Linked DNA regions of Ovis aries. The protein of the gene in region 1 interacts with the protein of each later gene in a pairwise test. Links are inferred from orthologs where the notes say so. Each region holds a gene or a part of one and is shown on either strand. Other genes may lie near its edges. The genes, in order: ARL6IP1, SNX11, GAD2, NDRG4, ACSF2, SHMT2 and SNX15.

The links.
Region 2: the proteins of ARL6IP1 (region 1) and SNX11 interact in binary tests that used the Homo sapiens proteins (3 or more experiments, as listed by UniProt). The two-hybrid records come from large-scale screens. The link is inferred for Ovis aries from reciprocal best matches to the Homo sapiens genes ARL6IP1 and SNX11.
Region 3: the proteins of ARL6IP1 (region 1) and GAD2 interact in binary tests that used the Homo sapiens proteins (3 or more experiments, as listed by UniProt). The two-hybrid records come from large-scale screens. The link is inferred for Ovis aries from reciprocal best matches to the Homo sapiens genes ARL6IP1 and GAD2.
Region 4: the proteins of ARL6IP1 (region 1) and NDRG4 interact in binary tests that used the Homo sapiens proteins (3 or more experiments, as listed by UniProt). The two-hybrid records come from large-scale screens. The link is inferred for Ovis aries from reciprocal best matches to the Homo sapiens genes ARL6IP1 and NDRG4.
Region 5: the proteins of ARL6IP1 (region 1) and ACSF2 interact in binary tests that used the Homo sapiens proteins (3 or more experiments, as listed by UniProt). The two-hybrid records come from large-scale screens. The link is inferred for Ovis aries from reciprocal best matches to the Homo sapiens genes ARL6IP1 and ACSF2.
Region 6: the proteins of ARL6IP1 (region 1) and SHMT2 interact in binary tests that used the Homo sapiens proteins (3 or more experiments, as listed by UniProt). The two-hybrid records come from large-scale screens. The link is inferred for Ovis aries from reciprocal best matches to the Homo sapiens genes ARL6IP1 and SHMT2.
Region 7: the proteins of ARL6IP1 (region 1) and SNX15 interact in binary tests that used the Homo sapiens proteins (3 or more experiments, as listed by UniProt). The two-hybrid records come from large-scale screens. The link is inferred for Ovis aries from reciprocal best matches to the Homo sapiens genes ARL6IP1 and SNX15.

Annotation. Positions count from the first base shown.
Region 1 is NC_056077.1:16,929,073-16,933,223, reverse strand, and holds the start of ARL6IP1 (ADP-ribosylation factor-like protein 6-interacting protein 1), read left to right. Parts: upstream 1-1,351; coding exon 1,352-1,387; intron 1,388-3,038; coding exon 3,039-3,172; intron 3,173-3,626; coding exon 3,627-3,746; intron 3,747-4,151. UniProt on the Homo sapiens protein: Positively regulates SLC1A1/EAAC1-mediated glutamate transport by increasing its affinity for glutamate in a PKC activity-dependent manner.
Region 2 is NC_056064.1:38,124,438-38,128,397, reverse strand, and holds the start of SNX11 (sorting nexin-11), read left to right. Parts: upstream 1-1,160; 5' UTR 1,161-3,960. UniProt on the Homo sapiens protein: Phosphoinositide-binding protein involved in protein sorting and membrane trafficking in endosomes. Regulates the levels of TRPV3 by promoting its trafficking from the cell membrane to lysosome for degradation.
Region 3 is NC_056066.1:26,034,813-26,038,798, forward strand, and holds the start of GAD2 (glutamate decarboxylase 2), read left to right. Parts: upstream 1-1,186; 5' UTR 1,187-1,231; coding exon 1,232-1,301; intron 1,302-1,966; coding exon 1,967-2,026; intron 2,027-2,230; coding exon 2,231-2,380; intron 2,381-3,398; coding exon 3,399-3,632; intron 3,633-3,986. UniProt on the Homo sapiens protein: Catalyzes the production of GABA.
Region 4 is NC_056067.1:25,875,446-25,878,945, forward strand, and holds part of NDRG4 (protein NDRG4), read left to right. Parts: intron 1-1,332; coding exon 1,333-1,438; intron 1,439-1,709; coding exon 1,710-1,830; intron 1,831-1,918; coding exon 1,919-1,981; intron 1,982-2,135; coding exon 2,136-2,196; intron 2,197-3,415; coding exon 3,416-3,500. UniProt on the Homo sapiens protein: Contributes to the maintenance of intracerebral BDNF levels within the normal range, which is necessary for the preservation of spatial learning and the resistance to neuronal cell death caused by ischemic stress.
Region 5 is NC_056064.1:35,985,318-35,988,817, forward strand, and holds part of ACSF2 (medium-chain acyl-CoA ligase ACSF2, mitochondrial), read right to left. Parts: intron 1,496-3,500; coding exon 1,300-1,495; intron 934-1,299; coding exon 805-933; intron 561-804; coding exon 507-560; intron 206-506; coding exon 87-205; intron 1-86. UniProt on the Homo sapiens protein: Acyl-CoA synthases catalyze the initial reaction in fatty acid metabolism, by forming a thioester with CoA. Has some preference toward medium-chain substrates. Plays a role in adipocyte differentiation.
Region 6 is NC_056056.1:162,387,019-162,389,982, reverse strand, and holds the end of SHMT2 (serine hydroxymethyltransferase, mitochondrial), read left to right. Parts: intron 1-12; coding exon 13-135; intron 136-271; coding exon 272-411; intron 412-740; coding exon 741-906; intron 907-1,104; coding exon 1,105-1,204; intron 1,205-1,295; coding exon 1,296-1,451; intron 1,452-1,531; coding exon 1,532-1,639; intron 1,640-1,757; coding exon 1,758-1,885; 3' UTR 1,886-2,464; downstream 2,465-2,964. UniProt on the Homo sapiens protein: Catalyzes the cleavage of serine to glycine accompanied with the production of 5,10-methylenetetrahydrofolate, an essential intermediate for purine biosynthesis.
Region 7 is NC_056074.1:39,693,176-39,697,265, reverse strand, and holds the start of SNX15 (sorting nexin-15), read right to left. Parts: upstream 2,801-4,090; 5' UTR 2,766-2,800; coding exon 2,715-2,765; intron 2,540-2,714; exon of another isoform or gene 2,438-2,539; coding exon of another isoform or gene 2,426-2,437; coding exon 2,339-2,425; intron 1-2,338. UniProt on the Homo sapiens protein: May be involved in several stages of intracellular trafficking. Overexpression of SNX15 disrupts the normal trafficking of proteins from the plasma membrane to recycling endosomes or the TGN.

The DNA.
Region 1 (4,151 bases):
AGTTCAATGGCAAATTTCATAACTTTTAATGATATTCACAATGCTTCTGTCCCCCTAGTTTTCTTAGGGGCAGCATGTGGTCTGTAGCTGTGTTGGCTCACATTTCTTTATGCCTTCCCTGAACTTTTTATGAACCTGGTAGTTATTTAAGGAACGTTTTTAAAATAAACGATGGCATAATATAGATGACTGCAAAAGGATAAAAGACTGGAAGTTGAAAGCTATGGCATGTTTTTCTGAAAGAGATATCTGAAAGGTCAACATTTGGCATTATTTTGTGTTGAGTAATGAAAACGTTAATGCATTTTGAAATCCTGGAGAGAAAATGTGTCTCACATTGATCATCTAGTTCTTAAATTGCAATGAATTCCACTCAAGATGGTTTACATCTTTCCTTATATGAAAGGATCTGTCAAAACCAGCCCCTTTTTGGAGGGGGAACATGCGGTTTCAAGTGAGGTGTTCTATTAAGAACTTTCCCAAAGAACCCACGAAAATGAACCAGTTTTATAAAGTGCATTTTTCACAAGCTCTCAAACTCTGCCCAGATGTCCACACCCCCTCTGCCGCCCCCCGCCCGTCCATCTAAGACCTTATTCCTAATGAGTAGGGGAGGAAAATTACAGAAAACCTAGAATTTATGCCCTTTTCCCTTGTCCACAAAGCTCATGAGATGGGCACGAGTCTCCAAGTCACAAATCTAGGCTAAACTGCTCAGCAGCCTGACGAGGGCTGCCAGAGCAGGGATTAGAAGAAATGTGGGTCCAACTCGGGGAACAGCCAGGCCCAGGGCCACCCGCTGGATCTGGGAGAAGATCCCAGCCCGCCCCCTTAAGGAGGTTACTGTCACATGCCCATCTCTGCCCTCCGCCTGATACTGCGTGGCATATTTCCTTAAGGACTCAATTCCAGAGAGCATGCTTAGCTGCTTTGAAGTCCACTGGAAGATCGTCCGAGAGCCACCTGGCGGCCCGCCTTAGGAATACTGAAGCCAGGCCAGGCCCCCGGGAGCGGCCGTTGAACCGCTTAGGAGAGGCCTGGGCGGGGCGTTGTCACCTACTGGGCGCTGATTGGCCATCCCATGGCCCCGCCCCCGGGGCACTGGCGAGGTTTCTCTCCTTTGACCTCGGTTTCAAGTCATGCGCTGGGCAGCGGTTGGTCCGACCTGTTCAAGCTTGATCTCGATTTGTCCAATGAGGAACGAGCTTCGCAGGGTCTGTCGGGAAAGGCAGCCGGCCTATATAAGAGGGCTGCGGGGCGTATCCTCGCGCTAGGGGTGCGGCGAGGGAGTCTGTGGAGGATTTGTTGTGGTTTCGTCCTGTGCTCGCTGAGACGGCACACCTCGAGAACTATGGCGGAAGGAGATAATCGCAGCACCAATCTGCTGGTGAGTCCCAGCGACTAGTCGCCAGAGGACCGAGTGGAGCCTCCGGACTTTGGTGTGCTCCGTGGGACTGAGCTGCGGCCTTGTTCTTATCACCCGCGGCGGGCCCGGCCCTCCGCTCCCTTCCCTGGTGTAGGCGATGACGCTTGCCCTTTTGGCTTCTTGGTTAACCTCTGCTTGACAGTGACTAGTCGTGGCGTCTCCTAACACCCCCTTGGGGAAGGTGCGCGATGGAGCGAGGAGGGCGCGTGATCATTCACTGCGAATAGAGGAGGAAGCTGGAGAAGGGGGCTGTGACCAGTCTGGGTTGCAGTCAGTGGCAGAGAGCCGCGAGGGGCCTGTCGAGCGCTTTTGGGGCCCAGACTCCAGCCGTATCTGTGTCTCCCCTTCCTTGATCTTAACCAGAATGTCCCTTCGCCCTTTACCCTAATGCTTGGGCAGGAGTGGAGGGTCAAAGGGCTCTTCCCGAGCGTTTCTGTTAGAGCCTGGCACGGCTTAAAACGGCAGGGAGGCTTCGAGCTCACGGCTGGAAAATGGAGGTGGGATCCAGCTGGAAGGACAATGGGAGGTTCCTGGCGTTTGTCTGGAACTTCTAAGACTGGGAGGGGGTGTCACAGGACGATTTTAGAGTAAGCAGGGGTCGAAGGGAACTGCAGTGAGCTTGTATCAAAGGCAGACAATTATAACCTCAGCCCGAATGGGGTGCCATTGCTGTCTCCGAAACTTAGCTTACATGCAACGAAAAAAACCAACCAAACAACAACAAAAAACAAAATCAACTTAAAGGTTTTTTGCCACATTAGCTCATCTGAGAAGTCTGCTTAGCTCATCTGAGAAGTCTGCTTGCAGCTGATTGTCAGATTTGCAGAGAAATTTGACATCTAACCAAAGCATCCTGATAAGTGTAAGGAGCATTTTATTGAGATATATTGGGCTTAATAAGTCTTATAATTCGAAGAAAGCACAGTAGTTTTCCTTACTTGTGCAAGTGATGCCAATATACAGATGATTCTAGTACACCAAGAGCTATTTTGGAAATGAATGCTGTTCAGGGAGAGGCTTTCCTCATGTATTCAGGAGTAGGGGGTTAAATCAATGAAATGACCAAAGAACAGATCGATTGTAACAACCTGAAATGAGCAAACTTCAAGTGATCTTATTTTATACTTGGAGCAGTGCCACTTAGCAGTGCATAGTGAAGTGAAGTCGCTCAGTCGTGTCCGACTGTTTGCGATCCCATGGACGGAGTAGCCTGCACCAAGCTACTGCATCCATGGGATTTTCTAGGCAAGAGTGCTGGAATGGGTTGCCATTTCCTTCTTCAGAGAATCTTCCCGACCCAGGGATCGAACCCAGGTCTCCCGCATTGTAGACAGATGATTAACCGTCTGAGCCACCAGGGAAGCCTACAGTTAGCAGTGCATGGTTTTGGGAAAATAACCATTCTGAACTCACTTTAATTGTAAATGGGTCTGATTATCCCTATCTTAAGGGGTCTTATAAGGATTATGTTACATAACCCCAGTGCTTGGGCTTGGAAAGTGACCGTTACATGATAATTTTCCCCCCATTGGTTTCTGACTTTGGTATCTCTAGGAGTCACAGAAATGTTGAGATTAGTAAAATGATTGCTTTAAACGTTGCTCATATGTAGGCTGCAGAGACTGCAAGTCTGGAAGAGCAGCTGCAAGGATGGGGAGAAGTGATGCTGATGGCAGATAAAATCCTCCGATGGGAAAGAGCCTGGTTTCCACCTGCCATTATGGGTGTGGTTTCTTTGGTGTTTCTGTAAGTGAGCTATTAAATTACAATAGATTTATGCTTGTTACTAATAATGGTTCAGGTTTCATTTATGGAAGTGCCTGAAGTCTTGTAATTTTAAAATCTGTAAAAAAATGCCTTGCCTTAGAGCCGCCTGCCTGGTTTTCAGAATCCATAGTACTATGTAAAGTCAGTAACCGGTGCAGTGAAATAAATCTGTGGTTCAAACTTAGGACTGTTTACACTCCTAGAAGGTGTTGAGGACCCCAAAGGGCTTTTGCCTCTTGATGTTTACGTTAACCGTTATGGCTGGGATGTCATCATGTCACAAAACTTCTGGAAAACCACTTGTGAGAAAATGAGAATAGGAAGGGCAGATAACATCTTTTGAGAACCAGAGGACTAACTGAATAAACGTCTTCAGCTAGCACTGATAAAGACCATATTTTTCTAACCTTTGTTACTTTTTTTTTTTAAACAGGACTATCTACTATCTAGATCCATCTGTTCTATCTGGTGTTTCCTGTTTTGTTATGTTTTTGTGCTTGGCTGACTACCTTGTTCCCATTCTAGCACCTAGAATTTTTGGCTCCAATAAATGGTAGGTGGCATAATGATGTGGCATTCAAATTTCTGAGAAGTTGCGAACCTGATAACTGTGACTAGGGTGCTATAATCACACACAGAGAGCTGCCTTAATTAACAGCTAGGGATTAGACTTACTGTTTGATGTAAAGAACTTTTTAGCTGATTCACATATAAATCGTGAATTTCCAGTACTTATATCTCCATAGTTCTTTTATACTCTAGCATTTATTTTGACTTTTTTCTTTCTAGACCTTTTTATTGAAGTGAGGCTTTTTTTGGTAATGATTTTTCAGTGATTGCAGAACTCATAATGAGCTTTCCATAGTATGTCTGCTTTACATTTTTTACCATTGATATTTAAGGTAATACTAATTTCATAAGTAACTTAGGAATAATTCAAAACAGTAAACATAGTTTT
Region 2 (3,960 bases), on another chromosome or scaffold:
AATTACGAATTAAAGCAAGATTTGCACTGGGACTTTTTAACTCCTTAAAGGAAACACGGAATGAAGGCAGGCAGCAGAAAACCTGGAAAAGATAATAAAATGCGTTCCATCTTTTCTTCACACATTCTTACAGCCGATCAACCAGGAAGCAAGCGGTGGCCAGTTTTTCCCTTTTCTTGAGCAAGCCTCACAGAAAAGCTCTCGGGACCTCCGCCCACTTACTCTAACAGTTTCTCCCCGCCACCCCCAGTCCCCGAGCAAAACCAGGCAAATACCACCCCTCCTTCTAGACCCTTCCCCAATTTACTCAACAGACCTCCCCAAAGCACTACACTTGGGGCTGCCCTGCCCCCCCAGCCGCTTACAATTTCCTCGAAGTTACCGCTCCGCAACTCCGCAAGCGGAGTTCCTATGGCAGCCCTGGCGGGACCCAATATTCTCAGGTTACATTTCTAACCTCGGGTCTTGCAGTCGTCAACCCTCCCTACGCTGGTTCAAGCGCCCAGGCTATCCCGTCCGTCCTCTTCCCAATTGACTATGTTTCCTCTCCAGCCCAATCCCCCAGCCGCCCACCCAACCCACGTAGCATTGTCTTGGTCTACTCAGGCCGAAGGGCGACCCGCAAACGCTCGGCCCACCCCAAATCGCTTCAATCTCTGGCTCCGGACTCGCCGCCCCGCCCTCTCCATCTTCTCGCGCTCTTCGCCCTACCCACTGCGCCCGGCAGAAGACTGCGCGGGGAGGGAGAGGGAGTCGGGCGCGCTCCCCGCTCCTAACCTCCGCCGCGAGCTCGCGGCCCCTGATCCAGGGCTCCCGCCGCCGCCGCCGCCGCCGCCGCGCGCCATCCCCCCGCTTGCCCGCCTCTAGCGGGCTCTTCACCTCAGAGCAGCGCCCACAAGCCCGAGAGGAATCGGTGCCGCGCTACTGGCGGGTCTTGTCCGGCCGGCCGGGGGAGTGGCGACCAGAAAAGCAACAAGCCGGGTGACCACTGTCGAGCCCCCTCACTGAAGCGGCGTACCGCAGGCCCCTGCCAACGGCCCTCCCCTCAGACGAACAAAAGAGCCTCGCACTCTGCGCTGCCCGCCGCCCGCACCGCGCAGGCGCGATGACCCGCCGCACAGCAATATGGGACTCGGAGTCCGTCCCGGACTACAAGACCCGAAGTGCTGCGCGCCTTCCACGGCGCCACGCACAGTTTGCGAGGGTTTCGAGAAGTTTTAATTTTTCTACCACTAGTGTCGGAGACGGAGAAGGCAATGGCACCCCACTCCAGTACTCGTGCCTGGAAAATCCCATGGACGGAGGAGCCTGGTAGGCTGCAGTCCACGGGGTTGCTGAGTCGGACGACTGAGCGACTTCACTTTCACTTTCATGCATTGGAGAAGGACATGGCAACCCACTCCACTGTTCTTGCCTGGAGAATCCCAGGGACAGAGGAGCCTGGTAGGAGGCCGTCTATGGGGTCGCACAGAGTCGGACACCACTGAAGCGACTTAGCAGCAGCAGCAGTGTCGGAGAAGGCGATGGCATCCCACTCCAGTACTCTTGCCTGGAAAATCCCATGGGCGGAGGAGCGTGGTAGGCTGCAGTCCGTGGGGTCGCGAAGAGTCGGACACGACTGAGCGACTTCGCTTTCACCTTTCACTTTCATGCATTGGAGAAGGAAATGGCAACCCACTCCAGTGTTCTTGCCTGGAGAATCCCAGGGACGGGGGAGCCTGGTTGGCTGCCGTCTGTGGGGTCGTACAGAGTCGGACACGACTGAAGCGACTTAGCAGCAGCAGCAGCAGCAGTGCCGAAGCGACTGTTAGTTGAGAACGCTGCAACCTAGCAAACTAAAGCGTGTGGTTTTACAAGCGAACCCCTTGATGTTTGGTGTAAAATATAAACCACTTTTGGACAGTAGTTCACATCCTTGAAAATTTTGAATCTTATTTCTCACCAGATCTCTATAAGGCTTTCTCACCAGATCTTTATAAGGCTTCTAGTTCTTATCGTTGAGATTAAAGTACTTCCCCTTCGAGGCCTTCCCTGACCTCCTAAGCTAGGCTAGGTCCCCCTGGTAGGTGTCATTCATGATACCCTGAACTTCCCCCTTACACTGGCTGCACGAATGGGCGGCTTTAGGGCCGAAACCCTCAATATCCATGAGTACCCTTCCCTCACCCAGCCTCCTCAAAGACACACCGAAACAGGCAAAAAACCTGTTTCTTATTCTTTGAGACAAGTGTTCTAGTTTTGATTTCAGCTAGACTGCTGTCCCCAAACTTGTTCATGTGGAAATTCGGTCTCATGATGATGTTCATCCTACTTTACTGTCATTAATTAGTATCTGTCTTTGTTGGACTTAAAACTCCACTCCCGTTAGTGCAGAAACCTCTGCCCAGTACAGCGCCTAGCATAAGACAGTCAAATCAACATTTGTTGAATAAATGATTAAATAGGTTAATATGTGGGCTTCCCTTGTGGCTCAGCTGATAAAGAATCTGCCTGCAATGCAGGATACCTAGGTTCGATCCCTGGGTTGGGAAGATCTCCTGGAGAAGGGAAAGGCTACCCACTTCAGTATTCTGGCCCGGAGAATTCCATGGACTGTATAATCCATGCAGTTGCAGAGTCTGACAGGACTGAGCCTCAGCGACTTTCACTTTCACTTCTCAGGTGGCTCAGTGGTAAAGAACCTCCCTGCCAATGCAGGAGAGGCGGATTGGGTCCCTGGGTCAGGAAGAATACCTGGAGGAGGAAATACCAACCCACTCCAGTATTCTTGCTGGAAATTCCCACGCATGGGGGAGCCTGGCGTGCTGCATACCATGGGGTCTCAAAGAGTCAGACACCACTGGGGCAACCTAGCACACGCTCATAGGAGCAACTGAGCACGCACACAAATTAATGTTCTTTTCCTCCTTGAAAGAAAATGGAGGTGATCAAGCTTTCATCTTTTTTCTTCACATCACGTTCATGGGGTTTTTCCATCTCCCCCTTACTCTACATTTCCTTGTTCAATTAGAATCTAAACAGAATGTCTACCAAAAGGTGACCTTTCCCCCCTTACTTGGAATTCAAATATCCTTCTAATCAGAAGAAAAGGAGAAAGGAAACGAGTCTACTGCACTCCGCCCCAGAAAGCAGGAGTCTGCATTTATATAACAGTTTTGCTGAGTCCGGAGAAGGCAATGGCACCCCACTCCAGTACTCTTGCCTGGAAAATCCCATGGGCGGAGGAGCGTGGTAGGCTGCAGTCCATGGGGTCGCGAGAGTCGGACACGACTGAGCGACTTCACTTTCACCTTTCACTTTCATGCATTGAAGAAGGAAATGGCAACCCACTCCAGTGTTCTTGCCTGGAGAATCCCAGAGACGGGGAGCCTGGTGGGCTGCGTCTATGGGGTCGCACAGAGTCGGACACGACTGAAGCGACTTAGCAGCAGCAACATCAGTTTGCTGAGTCAGGTACCGTACAGAGTACGGTAGATAACTGGGGGTCTACAGAAATATTCTAGAACCCGTAGTGGGTTCTAGAGAACTGCCATGTAAGAAGAACCCAGCCCAACAATATCATAAGAGTTTTGCTGAAAGACCCATGAGACGGGCGAAGGGGGCAGTTCTTCTCGAGACATTTTTTGGTTGGGTGTCCAAAAATTCATCTATTCACTCTCTCCTGAAGTACATTAGTTTGTTTTAGATAATTTCAGTGATAGAAACTTAGTTGTAATAGTATTACTTATTATTGAGTGCTTATTCCCCAGTTCTACAAATCTTAAGTCTTTGATTAATATTATTTAATCCTCTCTTTGAAAAGCATGCGTGGGGGGACTTTCCTGGTAGTCCAGTAGCTAAGTCTCCATGCTCCCAGTGCAGGGGTCCTGGATTCTATCCCTGGTCAGGGAACTAGATCCTACGTCCACATGTGGCAACTAAGACCCCCACATAGCCAAATAAATACATTTTTTCTTATTT
Region 3 (3,986 bases), on another chromosome or scaffold:
GTGCAGGCTTCTCACGCATACAACGATTCCCCTGACGTGTAAGCAGCGGTCCTTCCACGCCTTCGCCGATCAAGGTCACCGAATGACTCGACCGCATCCCCCATCAGCCATCAGCCATCAGCCGTCAATCCTGCTGGCTCTAGTTGTTCTTCCTTGCCGCCTTCCAAGAAGTTTCCATTCATATTATTTCTCTGCCCAGCCTGAGGTTCTTGGTGATAGATTTCAGCGTGAATTTTAATTGCCTCAATCAGCAGTCTTTCTCCCAAGCCGTCAGTCAGAACTTGAGCAGTGGGCTCGGCGACCAAGCGCTCTGAAGCGCAGGAATGGTTCCCAGCCCCCACCTCGGGGAGACTACGCGGCTCAGTGGGCAGGAGTTAGGCTCTACTAAGGAGCAGGACTGAGCCCATCAGTGCCTAGGTGCCCTTCCCGCACAGTCCCCTTCCCAGGCTCGCGAACGGCTCCAGATTCCCCCAGCCGCCGGGACTCCGGGGGGTCACAGCGACCTCAGCACTCTCTCGCAGGAAGGTGGCGAGGACTTAGCGCCTCCTTCTCCGCAGTCGGAACCAGACCTCAAACAATACACCAATCGTCGCAAATAAAAGGCTGTCTCCTCCGCCTTTCCCGCCTCGCCAAGGTCTCTGTGGTCTCCCCGCGCTGGTGCCGGCGCGCAGTCCGCCGCGTTAGCACCCTGGACAGCGCCCCCGGGGTCGCCAGCATCCTCGCGCCGCACGCTCCCCAGGGATCGCCTGCTCACCTCCCACCCGCTAACGCTGACTCCTGCACGGGCGCACTGTCTGCCTCGCCCTCGGACGATTCAGCTCTCTCCCTCCCGTTTTTCCCTCCTCCGCCCCCTCGTGCGTCCCGGCTGGGCTCCCTCTCCCTCAAAATCGCTCGAGTGCTCGGTCGCTTTCCCATCTCCCGGCGGTAAGGACCCTTCAATCCTCTCCTCTATTCACTCCCCGAAGCTTTCAGAGCTTTGCCACTTCGCTGAGCTCTAATCCCAACACACACGCGCGCACACGGACACGCACGTTTCCTGCCCCTGTGTGACACCCACCCTCTGTCGTGCGGCCGCTCCAGACCCCGCGCGGTGTTCCTCCTACCGCCACACACACTCACACACACAAACACACACAAACGCACGCACGCGCGCGCGCAGGGCGGAGCGGAGGGCAGGCAGCTCGCCGGCAGTTTGCACTCAGAGGCGTCTTGCTCCAGTATCGCAGCGCTGATGGCATCTCCGGGCTTTTGGTCCTTCGGATCTGAAGATGGCTCGGGGGATCCCGAGAACCCCGGCACAGGTAGGAGAAACGGGACCTGCAGGCGGAGAGCTTTGCGGGCGGACTGGGTTTGAGGGGCTGGGGAAGATTGAAGGTTTTCCCACCTGCAACAGGAAACTTCGGACGCTTAGCCCTGCCCTCGGGGTGGGTCCTTGATGACCCAACAGACTCTTATCCCCTGGGAAGATGCCCAGGGACCGTCTGGTTCTTTCCGCTGAAATCTGGGAGAGCCTCTAAACAAGGCCGTGTCTCCTCGACACCGAATTCCTGGGCCTGGGATTCTGTCACGGTCTTAGTGTCTGGAGAGAGAGAGGGTGGGGAAAAGGAAAATTGGAAAGGGGAGAGAATTGTTGATCTGAAAGGAGAGCGTGCGAGGAAATGGGCAGCCTCGGGTGTCGAGGAAAACTCGCCCAAGCGAGGCAAGAAGGAGACTTTGTCCTAACCGAGTGGTACCTGAAAGGCAAGTGCAAAGGGCCACAGTGTGGGCCGCTTCTGAGGAAACAGCCAAGGGTCGAGCCGGGCCGCCAGGCTCCCGCCGCCTCTGGCACCTGCTCGCTGTGCGGGCGCCAGGCAGGCAGCTTTTCCCGGAGCCCGGGTTTATTGACGTTCACAAAGAACGAAATTTCACACGTGTGTCTGCTGTTTTCTTTCTGCCTCGCTGTCCTCCCACCTGTCTTTCCTTGCAGCCAGGGCCTGGTGTCAGGTGGCCCAGAAGTTCACGGGCGGCATCGGAAACAAACTGTGCGGTGAGTGCCTGCGCGGGTGCCCGAGGGAGGGAGGCGGACATGGCCAGGCACCGCGAAGCCCGAGGAAGTCAAAGCCACCCTCTCACCTCCGCATCCCATGAGGGGTCGGATATTCTTGATTTGGGGACCGGGGATGGGGGTCGGGGGCTGGGAGCCGGGCCGGCGGGCCGCCGACCTAGGTCCGCGCTCCTTGTCCTTGCCCAGCCCTGCTCTATGGAGACGCCGAGAAGCCGGCGGAGAGCGGCGGGAGCCAGCCCCCGCGGGCCACCTCCCGCAAGGCCGCCTGCGCCTGCAACCAGAAACCCTGCAGCTGCCCCAAAGCGGAGGTCAACTATGCATTTCTACACGCAACAGGTAAGGGCGCCTCGCCGGGGTCCCGGGAGCTTCTGCCCCTCGCCCTGCCGCGGCCACCGTGGCCAGGAGGGACTCGGCGCCGGGAGCCTGAGCCGGGACGTCGAGGTGCAGGGCAAAAGCAGACCTTAGGAGACACTCCAGCAGACCTCGAGAAACGCTGGGCCTGCCCTCTCGGTCAGACCCAGACCCGGGCCTCAGCGTGGCGCTGGGCTCCGTGGTTCCAAGCGGGCTCCCGGACTGCGGGCGCTCTGCGCCCAGCGCCGGCCTCGGGTCTCCGGGTGGCCGAGGCGCCCCGGCGCACACTAGCTCCAGGTCCTATTCTCCGTGCGCCCGAGGCCTCGGGTGAGATGTGGTTTCTTGTTCAAAATAGCTTAGACTTTCTAGGTCTTCAGATCGCAAGAGTGATTTGTAGCTGTGGTTTCTGGAAAAAGATTGACAGGAAACCTGCGCGCAGTTTCACTCTCGTACTTGCACACCCAGTGTGCGAGCGCGCGCGCGCACACACACACACACCACACACAGAGAGACACGCTGACTTAGGAAACAGCGGGCCTTAGTTAATAAGCCAGAGATCCTGTGATGCCATAGGATAATAATAAGCCAAGTGATAACCAAAATCTTATGAGCCATTTTGCCCGATTTACCCAAAAGCATTCCTCAGACATTCCTGACTTGAAGTGATCGTTTAAGATGACTTACTGAGAAATACCGTTTAGCGAGAACCCGGACGAAACAGATGAATGGAAGTATATTTTCTTTAAAAAAAAAAAAAAGATAGGAAAAGGAAGCAAATTGGTTATGAACTGAAATGCAAGAAAATTTGGGATAAGGAAAGAAATCGTATTTTTTTCATTCCTTCATTTTTGAAAAATACCTCCCGTTTAAAGAAGATGCTCTGCTTTTCCAGAAGATTTTTTTTAACATAAAATCTCAGTTCAGAGAGAAAGTGTCAGATGAAGACCTTTCCTGGATATTTTCATTGTAAAATTAAAACGTGGCATTTTGATTTTGTTCTTAGACCTGCTGCCAGCGTGTGACGGAGAAAGGCCCACTTTGGCGTTTCTGCAAGAGGTTATGGACATTTTGCTTCAGTATGTGGTGAAGAGTTTTGATAGATCAACCAAAGTGATTGATTTTCATTACCCTAATGAGCTTCTTCAAGAATATAATTGGGAATTGGCAGACCAACCACAAAATTTGGAGGAAATTTTGATGCATTGCCAAACAACTCTAAAATATGCAATTAAAACAGGTATTGTCTGATCAGAAATAATAAAGCTCTTTTTTCTTTTATGATTTTTATTTTTTCTAGGAAAATGTTTTCTTTTATGGAGTTGATAATTTCAAATTTACAGCATTATTTTCATCATTTAAAAAGTCGTGATTAGAATGATTAATGTCAAAAGCACCCTTTACTGTTATTGTTCATTGTTTTGAAGTCGGAAATGTTACCTAGATATAAATCATCAGATTTTACATCACACTATTTGGCCACGGAAATTATCCACTGAGTAGAAGCAACCATTTGTCAGTAGAGGCCAGTAGAAGTGACTCTCCTATAGAGAAAGAAAAAAAGAGAATCTAGAAATGAAAGCGTAAAAGGCAT
Region 4 (3,500 bases), on another chromosome or scaffold:
GTGAGCAGAAGTGCTACTGAAGGACAGGCCTGGGCCGTGCAGCGGCTGCGGTGGACCCAGAAGTGTGGCTCCCGGCGTGTGGCCTTGGGCCCCAGGGTTGGCACCACCAGTCCTTCCCTTTTGGAGATGGGGCCAGGCAGTGGTCCTCTCAGCCCTGACCCAAGAAGGCCGGTCACCTAAGGCTCCCCTTTCTTGTCGGAGGCAGAAACTTTGTTTCTCTCTGAATATGAGTGTACTCCACTAAAAGGTGGGGAAAAGCGCTGCTTCTGTCTCTCATAACACCTGGCACACAGTAGGTGCTCAGTCACATGGTGATTCTCCTTGACCTCAGCCCGACCTCCAACTCCCTGGGAGGGACCACCCACCTCCTGCAGTCCCCAAGACTCTCCCTGAGAGGGCAGGGCTGTTTATTCAGCATTGACAGACCCGCTGGGAGTCTGCCTGTGAGTGGCCAAGAGGGACCAATTCCCAGAAAGACCAGCCAGCAGGGCTCGGGGATGCGCCCACCAATGGCAGCCCCCTTTCTGGGGCCAGGTATCAGCTTATCTAGTTCTCCCTGAACCCCCATGAGATGGCTCAGAAAGAGGTGGTTGAAGCACAGAGAGGTGCGTGTCCCGCTCAGAGTCACACAGTAAGGGGCAGAGCGGGTCCTGAACCTGCAGCACTCAGCTCCTGCTTCCTGAAGGACTGATGACCTCGAGCAGCAAACCCAAGGGGGCTGACCCAGGAGGAGCCCAGAGCCGCCACTAGACACATGGTGTCTAGCCTGGCCCTGACCAAGGGAGGCCTTGGGGATCTCAGAGAGGCAGGAGCGAGAGCCTGGGGGTGGAAACAGGAACAGCTGTGGGGGTGGGCGGCTGGACTGGCTGGCATGGGGTCTTCACCGTGGATTCTAGGTGGGCTGAGGCCCTTTTGCAGGGTTCTGAGTCCAGGGGGAACATGATGAGGGTGGGACTCGATGGGGAAGGCAGAGCTGACCCAGAGGGGCTGCAGTGAGATGGGAAAAAATGGGCCTCACTGGACCCTGGAGGGCTGAGTGCTGCTGGGCTGGGGCGCCCCACTGGCTGGTTTGCGGAGGAGACTGGAATGTTCATGTGCAGCCCAGTTTATGTTGCCCCTGTGCTGAACACCCATGGGGAGAGATGTACTCTCTGGTCTGTCCCCTCCGGGGGCTGCTGGGGGTGATGAAAAGGGGATGCCTAGCCTATGAGGGGAGGGGTGAAGGTCCCACCATAGGCCCAGCAGCCCCCAGGCTGCTCCCCAGCCTCGTTTCCCAGAAGAGCCAGGAGTGAGGGGCTGCCCAGAGGGTCCAGCGCGGTCTCTCCCCTCCAGGAACATGACATCGAGACGCCTTACGGCCTTCTTCACGTGGTGATCCGGGGCTCCCCCAAGGGGAACCGCCCAGCTATCCTTACCTACCATGACGTGGGGCTCAACCGTAAGTGTGCCCTCCTCTGCCTAGGGTCTGCTGGAATAGTGAGGCCCCCTCCCTCCCCACAGGGCTGTGTGGATCCCCACTCACGCTTAGCTCTATGCCTCCAGCCATGTGGGTCTTGGTTTCCCCGCTGAACCATGAGGCTGATCATCACCTCTGCCTTGACCTGCCTCCCAGCATCCACGGGCCTCATGGGCCTCCCCATCCCCCCATCCCTTCCTCCCACTTCCCCGGTTCCTTGGCTCAGCCAGAGCTGAGAGCTGTGTCTTTGCAGACAAGCTGTGCTTCAACACCTTCTTCAATTTTGAGGACATGCAGGAGATCACCAAGCACTTCGTGGTGTGCCACGTGGATGCCCCCGGTCAGCAGGTGGGGGCGTCACAGTTTCCTCAGGGGTAGGTACCAGGAATGCCCCGCCCCCAGCTTTCTCTAGGCCCCCCTACCTCCAGCTGCCCCGGAACTGACTTCTTGCTCCACCTGCAGGTACCAGTTCCCCTCCATGGAGCAGCTGGCCGCCATGCTCCCCAGTGTGGTACAGCACTTTGGGTGAGTCCCTGCCCAGTCCCCCACCCCAGAGGTGCCCACCACCGCCACAGAGCCAGCAGCTTCGAGCTGAGGGCTCAGGGCTATGGCTAGGTCTGCACTGGATGGCCATCAAGGGGAAGGAAACCCCTGGAGTGACCAGCATGCTCTCTGTCAGGTTCAAGTACGTGATTGGCATTGGAGTGGGAGCCGGAGCATATGTGCTGGCCAAGTTTGCAGTAAGTCTACCCACCACCACCCCAGGCCCAGCTAATCCCAGGACTGGTCCCCCCAGGGGCAACCTGCAGGAACTTTCTGAGTTCTTTCTTCCTCTCCTCCTCCCTCTACTTCCTCTTCACTTAGAAAAGTCCTTTTTCCTTTCTTTCCTCCAAGGAAATTAACTTTTAAAAAAAGTTAATTTTTTCATACATTTCCTTAAAACACTATACTCCGTAAGTTGCTCAAACCATTATCCAAAACCAACAAGCTGTACAACTAATGAGCCACTAAGTAAGGATGATCTTAATTCCTCATTCACTAATTAGAGTAATACTTAAACATGAATGATTTTTTAACCAAAAATTACACTTACGTTAAGTTTTGAGGTTTAAAAAAGTCAGATTTCAGAAACATCATATCAGGCAGGAGGAGCCCACAAGCTTTCCATCTCTAAAAAGAAAACCTAATTTTTAGGACTCAAAGTATTTCTTTCTTCAAAACAAAGAACAAAACAAAAAACCTGACCAAGAATTTTCAGCTCCAGTTTTGACTGCAGTACTTAACCACCTTGTTGACTGTCAGTCATTCCCTGCTACCCCAGACAGCCTTGACATGACCGCAGTATGTATATATTACCATTTTCTCCTAACCACGGGCAGACAGTCGAAGGGAAAACTCCAGTCTCTTTTACAATGTCTAACACAGAACAGGCTTTGGAAAGCTCAGTTTCTTCACATCACTAGGGCTTTTTCTATGAAAGCAAAGAAACAGTATTTTATTGAGGATGTTTAGTTCTCAGTGTTGCAATAGAAACCTCTTCAAGTGAAAGTCACTCAGTCCTGTCCGACTCTGCGACCCCACGGGCTATACAGTCCATGGAATTCTCCAGGCCAGAATACTGGAGTGGGTAGCCTTTCCCTTCTCCAGGGGATCTTCTCCACCCAGGAATCGAATTGGGGTCTCCTGCATTGCGGACTGATTCTTTACCAACTGAGCTATAAGGGAACCTCTTCAAAGATATATTTAAAAGCTGAAAAACTGTTCTCAGCTGAAGGCACTTGGTCATCGATTGCACCTTGGAAGCCCTTACAGAACACGTCCTCCTCTTCAGACCCTTACCACCCTCCACGGCCCACGAGACAGGCAGGGTTGGAACTTTACAGTCCGTTTTCTAGTGGAAAGATAGGGGCTCCCTGCACCCCGTCCCGCCCCTCAAGTCCTGTCTCCCTGTCACGGCAGCTCATCTTCCCCGACCTGGTGGAGGGGCTGGTGCTGATGAACATCGACCCCAACGGCAAAGGCTGGATCGACTGGGCGGCCACCA
Region 5 (3,500 bases), on another chromosome or scaffold:
AGGAGGGATGGCCCCCAGAGATGAGTAAGGAGTGAGCGGCCCAAGATATGGGATGATGTACCCCTCCCGACCCGGGACACCCCCACCTCTGACTCTTCAAGGCCCCTGGCTGGGCCTTCTCCACCTCTGGACAGATCTGCTTCAGGATGTTGTAGTAATGCTGAGTCTTGAATTGCTTGGGAAATACAAGGGCTTTGCAGCCCACCTGTAGAAGGGCAGCCCCCCGCCACGGTCAGCAGGAAGCCCCAGCCTGGGAATGTGGTGGAGTCCTGACAGTTGCTCTCCCTCCCATACACTGACACCGAAATACACACAGCCGCCACCCCCAACACACACACTGGCCTGTCTGACCAACCACCCCTCCTCCCGCCCACTGCCTGAAGAAGGACAGACTCAGGGTGTCACCTGTGCATGCCCCCACCCCTCTCAGCCTTCTGTGACAGCTGGAAGCCCCCTGTGCTAGGTACTAGCTGGCTTCCCCCACAGTACCCAAGGAATGCGCCCACCTTCTTGAGGGCATACTCCAGCTCCATAGCCTGGTACGCTGGATTCACAGATACCTGGTGGAGACAGTGAGGGTACGTCACGTGTCCTGGGCAGATGCTGTCCCACTTGCAGCCCCTCCACCCTCAGAGGCAGCACCCTGTACCTTCAGGCTTCCTTAGTGGGCTTCAGGAGAAAGCACTAGCTGGTCTGAAACCAGCCAGGCACTGGTGTGATTCTGGGGCCAAGGGCCCAGGGAGCTCCCCTGAATGATGCCCTCCCCCCTGCATATCCAGCTATGCCAGGCAATCCCCTCCTCACCAGAATGATGCCAGCCTGGGCTGTGGCCAGCTGCATGAGTACCCATGCATAGGAGTTGGGCCCCCACATGCCCAGCCGGTCACCCTTGCGGAGGCCGATACTCAAGAGCCCAGAAGCAGCTTTATCCACCTGGAATAAACAGAAGGGGAACAGAAGAGTGAGATGTAGGTGAGCAGAAAGGAGCCCATGACTCTGACTTTAGCCTTTGGCCCAGGGGTTCACACCAGAACCACTTGGGAATGAGGGACAGGCAGATACGCAGGCCTGAGATCTGGAGGGGGATTTGGGGACATGCATAGTTACACAGTGTCCCAGGAACAACTGACGCAGGAGGCACCTGGACCACCTCTGCCTCAGCCCTGCCCCCCACTCCTGATATTCTCAGGCAGCCCCAGCATGCTGCCCCATAGCCGGGCACCACCCTTGCAGCTCCACCAAGCTTGGCACCTGGGGGCCAGCACCTGCCCACTTTGAAGGTTCAGAGTCAGGACCCACCTCCTCCTTGAGTTGGGCAAAGGTCAACCTGATGTTTTCATGGTGGACAACCAAGGCCTCCTGGTCTGGGATCCTCTGTGCTGTGGCATCCAGGCACCGCCCCACAGTCTTGTTACTAAGGTGCAATCCGACGTGGCCCTGGACATAGCTGAAGCCTCCGACAGGCAAGGGGACGGTGTGATCCAGCTCTCCAGAACTGTGGGAAAAGGGGCTATGGGTTCAACTACACCAAGCCAGGCCTCCCTGGAACCAAAGGCTGGCACATCGTGCTAGGTTGCATACAACGTGTGCAGGAAACTCCAGAAACTGTCTGATCTGCCCCATTGCCAGGGACCCATTTAACTTAGGAGCTACTTTGCCCTTGGGAAATCAAAACCTGGAGGCTGACTTCTGTCCCTAATCGGAGAGAAGGTTCTTCTCCCCGCCCTTCTCCTCAGTTTCCACTGAGTGCCAAGCGTCTGGAGCCTTGGTATCCAAACCCTAGAAAGGGATACTAAGGTCAGTCATGCTGAGAGGTAGCCTGGGAGGGCTGGGAATGGCCTCATTCTAGACACCACCTCCTCCTGGTAAAAAGACCCCTGCGTATCTGTCAAAACCCACAGAATGATCTAACACAAGGACTAAACCCTGATGTAAACTTGGACCACAGTCAACAATAATGTACCATGCGTGCATGTTTGCTGAGTCGCTTCAGTCTAGCCTGACTCTTTGCGACCCTATGAACTGTAGCCTGCCACGCTCCTCTGTCCGTGAGATTCTCCAGGCAAGAATACTGGAGTCAGTTGTTGCGCCCTCCCTCCAGGGATCTTCCTGACTCAGGGATTGAACCTGTGTCTCTTACACTGGTGGGCAGGTTCTTTACCACTAGCACCACCTGGGAAGTCAATAATGTCCCATACTAGTTCACTAATTGTAATGTACCATACTAATGCAGATGTTAATATTAGAGAAACAGTGCCAGGGATGGGGTCAGGGGTGGGCCTAACGAACTCTATGTATGATCTACTCAGTTATTCTGTAACTAAAACTGTAATGAATTATTAAAACAATTATTTTTTTATTATTTAAAAAAAAAGGTCCCCAGAAGTCTAAGTATCATAAGCTTAGGCCTGCTTATGCCCATTTGCCAGAGCTGGGTGACAGGTGCTGGGCTCCCATCCAGGCCCAGAGAAGTATATGACAGCTCTCAGACCCTGTTCTTATCTGAGAGGGCACGCTCCAGATCCAGGCTTTCCAGACCACCCCATCAGGGTGGTGTGGGCCCTGGGGACCCTTCCTGATGATTCAGTCCTACAGTTGCTGAGCTGAAAAGGCCAATCCTAACCGTCACTGATTGGCTGCTTCTGGCTTATGGGGGAGAATTTCAGGACAGAATAAAGTATGCAGGGCAGAGGGGAGCAAATTGGGTTTCCCTATAAATGAGAGGAGACCTCACGTCACATGAGGGTGTGTCCCGGTGCAGGCTGATGGGTAGGTTGTCCTGACTTCAATAAAGATGAGTCACAAACTGTAGAGCTTGGGGCCTTTGGTCTCATCCCAGGTGTGCCGCTGGCTGGGTGGGAGATTGTCACAAACACCTTCGGTGTCCCTTGCCATGTGTCCTCAGCACATTTCTAGTTTCACTGATAGGGCAGTTTCTTGAGGTTCTGTCCTCAGTGACTCCCTCAAGTTTCTCCTTCTGTGGCTGGGCAGTTCTGGGAGGCATCAAGCCTGGAGGGCGTGGGTAAGATCCTGGTTGCCCACAAACGCCCCAAATTGACTTCTTGTCTCCTCTCCATACTCCCTCACTCCTGCTTCCCAAGATCACAAATAAACCACCTGCACCCACGTACTTGTTCTCAAGAAAATCCAAGTGAAGATATCTGTGTTTTCTCCTCTCTGGGCCTCACCCTCCCCACCTATAAAGTCTGAGGACTTGGATCAGTGGTTATCCTCAAAGGGATGCTATCTAGATCACCTTCCTGGGCAATCTTCTCAAAGACTGTAGTGAGCCACCTAAGCCAGCTGGTTTCCTCAGGTGTGCCAGGACAGAAAACAGCCAGAAGTCACAGGCCTCTGAAGCCCTGCAAGCCCCCACATTCTACCACTCAGGCTGGCAGACCTAAACAACTACTGAGGTAGTTCCTCACAGTCACCATAACACCCCTCAAAAGAGACTGTGTACCCACATCCTTCCCTCACAGGCATAATGTGGAGGGTGC
Region 6 (2,964 bases), on another chromosome or scaffold:
CTGTCTGTCTAGCCCCAAACCGGCCTCATTGACTATGACCAGCTGGCACTCACTGCTCGGCTCTTCAGACCACGACTCATCATAGCTGGTACCAGTGCCTATGCTCGCCTCATTGACTACGCCTGCATGAGAAAAGTTAGTGGTGGGCTGGAATCTCTGCCCTCCCCAAGGGGTGGTGAGGAGACTTGGGACGAGGGACAAGCCTTGGGCAGGCCTGTCTGGGCCCTCCCCAGGCTGAGGCCTATCTCTGTCCTCCTCTGTACCCGCCTAGGTGTGTGACGAGGTCAAGGCACACCTCTTGGCAGACATAGCCCACATCAGTGGCCTGGTGGCTGCCAAGGTGATCCCCTCACCCTTCAAGCACGCAGATATCGTCACCACGACCACTCACAAGACCCTTCGAGGGGCCAGGTCAGGCTTCCCTGAGGTCTTTCCTTGCCTCTCCCTGTCTTCATGCCCCACCCCGGGGCATGGTTGAGGTTGGATGTGAGTTTGTTCCCACCGGAAGCCCTGTCTAGGATACTTCTTCTTTTCTTGCCCTTGGTGGCAGTTCCCCGGCAGGGGGTTTGGGGGTGGAGGTGAGGTCTGCTCCCCTCAAGCCCTGGAGTCCGGCATACTGAACACCACTGGGCTGGACTCTGAGAGCCAGTGGCGGCCAGGCCAGCCAGTTTCCTCTGCTCTCCCCACCCCCATGCTCTTTCTTGTCAGATTAGATTCTGACCGCGTTACCTCCCACACAGGTCAGGACTCATCTTCTACCGGAAGGGGGTACAGGCTGTGGACCCCAAAACTGGCCGAGAGATCCCTTACACATTTGAGGACCGAATCAACTTTGCTGTGTTTCCATCCCTGCAGGGGGGCCCCCACAACCATGCCATTGCTGCAGTGGCTGTGGCCCTAAAGCAGGTTGGGGAGCCTACTCTTGTGGAGTGGGTGGGGGCAGGGCCCGGAGGCTCAGACCCTGCACCTTGCTAGCTGAAATTGGAGCAGATGGAAGGGAGGTGTCAGGCTGGCAGGGCGTGGGGATGGGGTCCCAAGTATGCTGGGGGTGGTGGGGCAGGAGGGGCCGGGCTTAAGGCGACAGTGCTGCCGCCTCTTCTCCAGGCCTGCACCCCCATGTTCCGGGAGTACTCCCTGCAGATTCTGAAGAACGCTCAGGCCATGGCTGATGCCCTGCTGGAGCGAGGCTACTCCCTAGTGTCTGGTGAGCTAGGGGGTGGGGAGGGGGAGGTGCACACCCCGGTAGCCTCGGAGGCCCAGGACTCACCACTCCCTGCTGACTCTCCCCGCCTCAGGTGGCACTGACAACCACCTAGTGCTGGTGGACCTGCGGCCAAAGGGCCTGGACGGAGCTCGAGCAGAACGGGTGTTGGAACTTGTATCCATCACGGCCAACAAGAACACCTGTCCTGGAGATCGAAGCGCCATCACACCTGGGGGCCTGCGGCTGGGTAAACCTGCGTTCTGGTAGGGGGGCGATGACTGCCAGATGGACTGGGGCTGTGCTAATCCTCTTCTGCCTCTCTTGCAGGGGCCCCAGCCCTGACTTCTCGAGGGTTCCGTGAAGATGACTTCCGGAAAGTTGTAGGCTTTATAGATGAAGGTGTCAACATTGGCTTGGAAGTGAAGAGCAAGACCAGTGAGTGGATAAGACCTCCCCTGCCCCCCAGCCAGTTCACACTATCTCCCCCTCCTCCAGCTGATCTCACTGCCTTCCCCTAAGCTCTGACCACATTTTTTTCCTCACCTGTGTCTAGCCAAACTCCAGGATTTCAAATCTTTCCTGCTCAAAGACCCAGAAACAAGTCATCAGCTGGCCGACCTTAGGCAACGGGTGGAGCAGTTCGCCAGGGCCTTCCCCATGCCTGGCTTTGATGATCACTGAAGGCACCTAAGAAACGAAGCCTGCGTGCGGACTAACATGTCTCCCTCTTCACCTTCCTGGACAACCTGGGGAGGGGGTGGTAACTGCTCCTCTTCCAGCTTTCTGCTGGCGGAGGGAAGGTACCCCTGACTTAGGGCAAGAACCATGTGTAGTTCCACTTCTCAGAACGTGGAGCTGAGGTTTCTTCTTGTAATACGACTGAGAAGGAGGAGGCTTGGAGCTTTCTGCCCTAACCTCTCCCATTACGTCAGTATTATAGACCCCTGCCCTTTCTTAGGGAGGGGGGAGTTCCTCTCCTGAGCGAGAGGAAGGGGTGGGTAGGCACCCTCCTTTCTGTTTCTATCTAATAAAATACTAACCTGCCCTGAGCTTCTGTTACTGGCGGGGAGGGGGGGGCCCTGGGGGTCCCCTGAGCCAGGTGGTATTCCTCTCCTTCAATGTGCTCCTCATTTCCCTCTCACCACCACCACAAGGACCCCCAAGGCTGCCTCCTCCTCTCCCTCTGATCAGAAGCGACACCAGACGTGATTAGCAGGCGCAACAAATTCAATTTGTTAAATGAAATTGTATTTTGCCCAAGGCTGCTTCTGTTTGATCCCTGGGGACTGAGGGAAGTAGGGGAGAGGTTGGGGAGGCCCAGGTGTGAGGCGAGGGTGGGGGAGGTTGTCCAGTGGTACCAAAAGCGGGAGGGAAGCAGGGGAAGCAGCGCAGACACCGGAGAAGCAAGCCGCACCTTCCTGAGTGTAGGTGCCTCCAGCTGGCTGTACTGTCAGCGACGAGCCTGGTCGAGCCCAGCGAGCCAGAGTAGCACCGCCCCCAGGCTGGCGCCAGGGATCCTGTAGCCTGGGCTAACGTGGGGCCTGCCACGTCATTTGGCACTCAGGCCCCTGCTTGGTCTTGTCTCTCACGTAGGCCACGCTCAACATGTAGCATGGACCCGCCCTCCAAAGCCAGAGTAATGGGGCAGAGGGTCTGGCATGAGCCTTTTGGGTTAGGCTACTCCCTGCCCTTTAACTGCTCCTCCCCCTCGTGGGACTGAAGCTGAGGGTCAGAGGCGCTTCCGCTGCTGGGATCAAGGG
Region 7 (4,090 bases), on another chromosome or scaffold:
TCGAGTGTTGGTGAGAATGAGAGTATAAAATGGTACAACTACTTTGGAAAACTGAAAATTACTAGGAAAAGTTACACATATGCCCAGCAAATGGCCCAGCAATGCCCAGGTACTCTCTTTTTTTCAACTCTTACTTATTATTGAATTACAGTTGATTTTGAACTTATTTTTGAACTGTGGTATTGGAAAAGATTCTTGAGAGTCCCTTCGACTGCAAGGCGATCAACCAGTCAATCCTAAAGGAAATGAGTCCTGAATATTCACTGGAAGGACTGATGCTGAAGCTGAGACTCCAATACTTTGGCCACTTGATGTGAAGAACCTATTCATTGGAAAAGACCCTGATGCTGGGAAAGACTGAAGGCGGGAGGAGAAGGGGACAACAGAGGATAAGATGGTTGGATGGCATCACCGACTCAATGGACATGAGTTTGAGTAGGTTCCAGGAGCTGGTAACGGACAGGGAAGCCTGGCATACTGCAGTCCATGGGGCCGCAAAGAGTCTGACTGAACTGAGATAGCTGATTTACAATATTCAGGTATATACACATACATAAATAATATTTTTCAGATTCTTTTCCATTATAGTTTATTAGTTTATTACAAGATGGGATCCTGGTGGCTCAGACGGTAAAGAATCTGCCTGCAATGCAGGAAACCTGGGCTTGATCCCTGGCTGGGGAAGATCCCTGGAGAATGAAATGGCGACCCATTTCAGTATTCTTGCCTGGAGAATTCCATGGACAGGGGAGCTTGGCAGGCTATAGTCCATGGGGTAACAAAGGGTCGGACACGACTGAGTGACTAATACTTCTTCTTATTACAAGATATCAACTATAGGGACTTTCCTGGCAGTCCAGTGGTTAAGATGCCAGGCTTCTATTGCAAGGGGCATGGGTTTGATCCCTGGTCAGGGATCTAAGACCCCATATGCCTGGGGGTGAGGCAAAAAAAAAGAGAAAGATATTGCCTATAGTTCCCTGTGCTATACAGTAGGGCCTTGTTGCTCATCCTTTTTTTTTTTTTTTTTAAGATTTATTTATTTATTTTTGGTTGCGCTGGGTCTTCATTGCTGGGTGCAGACTTTCTAGTTCTCTATTTGCGGTGCGCAGGCTTCCTATTGTGGTGGCTTCTTTCATTGCAGAGCATGGTCTCTACGGCACACAGGCTCAGTAGTTGTGGAGCACTAGCAGCTGCTTTGTGGCATGTGGCATGTTCCCGGACCAGGGATCGAACTCGTACCCTGCTTTGGCAGGCAGATTCTTAACCACTAGACCACCAGGGAAGCCCTAATCTATTTTATATATAGTAGTTTGTATCTGCTAATTCCAAGCTCCTAATTTATTCCCCACCCCACTTTCCCTTATGGTAACCATTAGTTTATTGTCTGTGAGTCTGTTCATTTTAAAATAAGTTGATTTGTATAATTTTTTTAGATTCCAGATATAAGTGATACCATATGACATTTGTCTTGGATTATCTTTTTATTTTCATTTTGTAATTTTTTTTAAATATTTGCATTTTTTAGGTACAGGAATGACACAAAAGATTTGAGGAAAGACCATTTTAAACATCTAGGATTCTGCATTTAAATCATTTCGGAAATCTTTACATTTCTGCTTTAAGTTATTAATGCACCAGTTTAATAGTTGCCTACTTCAAAATTGTAAAAATACAAAAATATTTAGTGAAAAATCTTCCCCAATTAGTTCTTGTATGTCATTCTACAGATAATATTATAGTTTCTGTTTTTAATCCCTTTCATGATATCCTGTCTCTATACACTTATAACGTTATTACTACTTCGTATACCAACTTTCGTCTTTATCTACTGACTTCCTGTTATGACTGTGAAGAGACTTATTCCTTTATTTCTTTTGAAGTGTATGAATTTTTAATCATACACAGGGATAATTTTTTGAAAAAAATTTAAAGTAATTCAACTCCTTAAAGAGTTTTCATATGAATATCAAACAAACCAACAGACAAAGCTTACTCCAAGAGACTGGAGACCTAATCAGTATTTGGGATGAGCCAGTTTTCAGCTTAACTTAAAGAAATTCACAGCCTGACGCCAAGCTGCCACGCATTGGGCGTGGACACACCTCGCAGTCTGGGAACTGCCGGCACGCCCTTTTAAAAGAGCAGCGCCCTCCTGTGGCCCCGCCCCTTGATGGCTAAAGAAGTAAACTAGGGCCGATTAACCACCACTCCCCCCCCTTAAAGGGGAAATCCATTCTGTTGTCTAAAATGGGCGCTTCCAGCAGCGTCTTGCTTTGAAGTAAAACACGGCCCCGCTCTTGTTAAAAGGGTAAATTCCCGCTGGGCCCCACCTTACCTGCGCCGTCACTTTGTATTCAGTGTAGCCCTTGGGGTGGGTCCGGGGGTCGGAGACTGTGTAGTGTCGCAGGAAGTCGTCTTTCGCCTGCCGGGACATGGCAAATAAATTGGAGCGGAGCTGACCGCCGGCCTCCGCCTCCTCCACCCCGCCCCCGCCCCTCCAGTTCAGTCTTCCCCAGTCGCCGCCTCGCCCGGGCCTGCGCCTTTCATCCTACGGCCCAGGGAGCTGGTCGCAAGTGACAGCGCAATTCTCGGCCAGGCGCTTGGCCAAGGGAGCGTCTAAAAAGTTCTCGATGGTTGGTAAAGCCGGAACCAAGTGATTTGGGAAAGGATTGGGGAAGAGTAAGGAAGGCAATGGCAACCCACTCCAGTACCCTTGTCTGGAAAATGCCATGGATGGAGGAGCCTAGTAGGCTGCAGTCCATGGGGTCGCGAAGAGTCGGACATGACAGAGCGACTTCACTTTCACTTTTCACTTTCATGCATTGGAGAAGGAAATGGCGACCCACTCCAGTGTTCTTGCCTGGAGAATCCCAGGGACGGGGGCTGCCTCTGGTGGGCTGCTGTCTATGGGGTCGCACAGAGTCGGACACGACTGAAGCGACTTAGCAGCAGCAGCAGCAGCAGCAAGGATTGGGCAAGCTGGATCACTCAGGTTTGCTTAGAGATAAACCCACCCCATGCGATGGTAAACCCTCATCAGTTCAGTTCAGTCGCTCAGTAGTGTCCGACTCTTTGCGAACCCATGAATCGCAGCATGCCAGGCCTCCCTGTCCATCACCATCTCCCAGAGTTCACTCAGACTCACGTCCATCGAGTCAGTGATGCCATCCAGCCATCTCATCCTCGGTCGTCCCCTTCTCCTCCTGCCCCCAATCCCTCCCAGCATCAGAGTCTTTTCCAATGAGTCAACTCTGCATGAGGTGGCCAAAGTACTGGAGTTTCAGCTTTAGCATCATTCCTTCCAAAGAAATCCCAGCGCTGATCTTCTTCAGAATGGACTGGTTGGATCTCCTTGCAGTCCAAGGGACTCTCGAGTTTTCTCCAACACCACATTTCAAAAGCATCAATTCTTCGGCGCTCAGCCTTCTTCACAGTCCAACTCTCACGTCCATACACTACTGGAAAAACCATAGCCTTGACTAGATGGACCTTAGTCAGCAAAGTAATGTCTCTGCTTTTGAATATACTATCTAGGTTGGTCATAACTTTTCTTCCAAGGAGTGAGCGTCTTTTAATTTCATGGCTGCAGTCACCATCTGCAGTGATTTTGGAGCCCCCCAAAATAAAGTCTGACACTGTTTCCACTGTTTCCCCATCTATTTCCCATGAAGTGATGAGACCAGATGCCATGATCTTCGTTTTCTGAATGTTGAGCTTTAAGCCAACTTTTTCACTCTCCTCTTTCACGTTCATCAAGAGGCTTTTTAGTTCCTCTTCACTTTCTGCCATAAAGGTGGTGTCATCTGCATATCTGAGGTTATTGATATTTCTCCCGGCAATCTTGATTCCAGCTTGTGTTTCTTCCAGTCCAGTGTTTCTCATGATGTACTCTGCATATAAGTTAAATAAGCAGGGTGACAATATACAGCCTTGACGTACTCCTTTTCCTATTTGGAACCAGTCTGTTGTTCCATGTCCAGTTCTAACTGTTGCTTCCTGACCTGCATACAGATTTCTCAAGAGGCAGGTCAGGTGGTCTGTATTCCCATCTCTCTCAGAATTTTCCACAGTTTATTGTGATCCACAC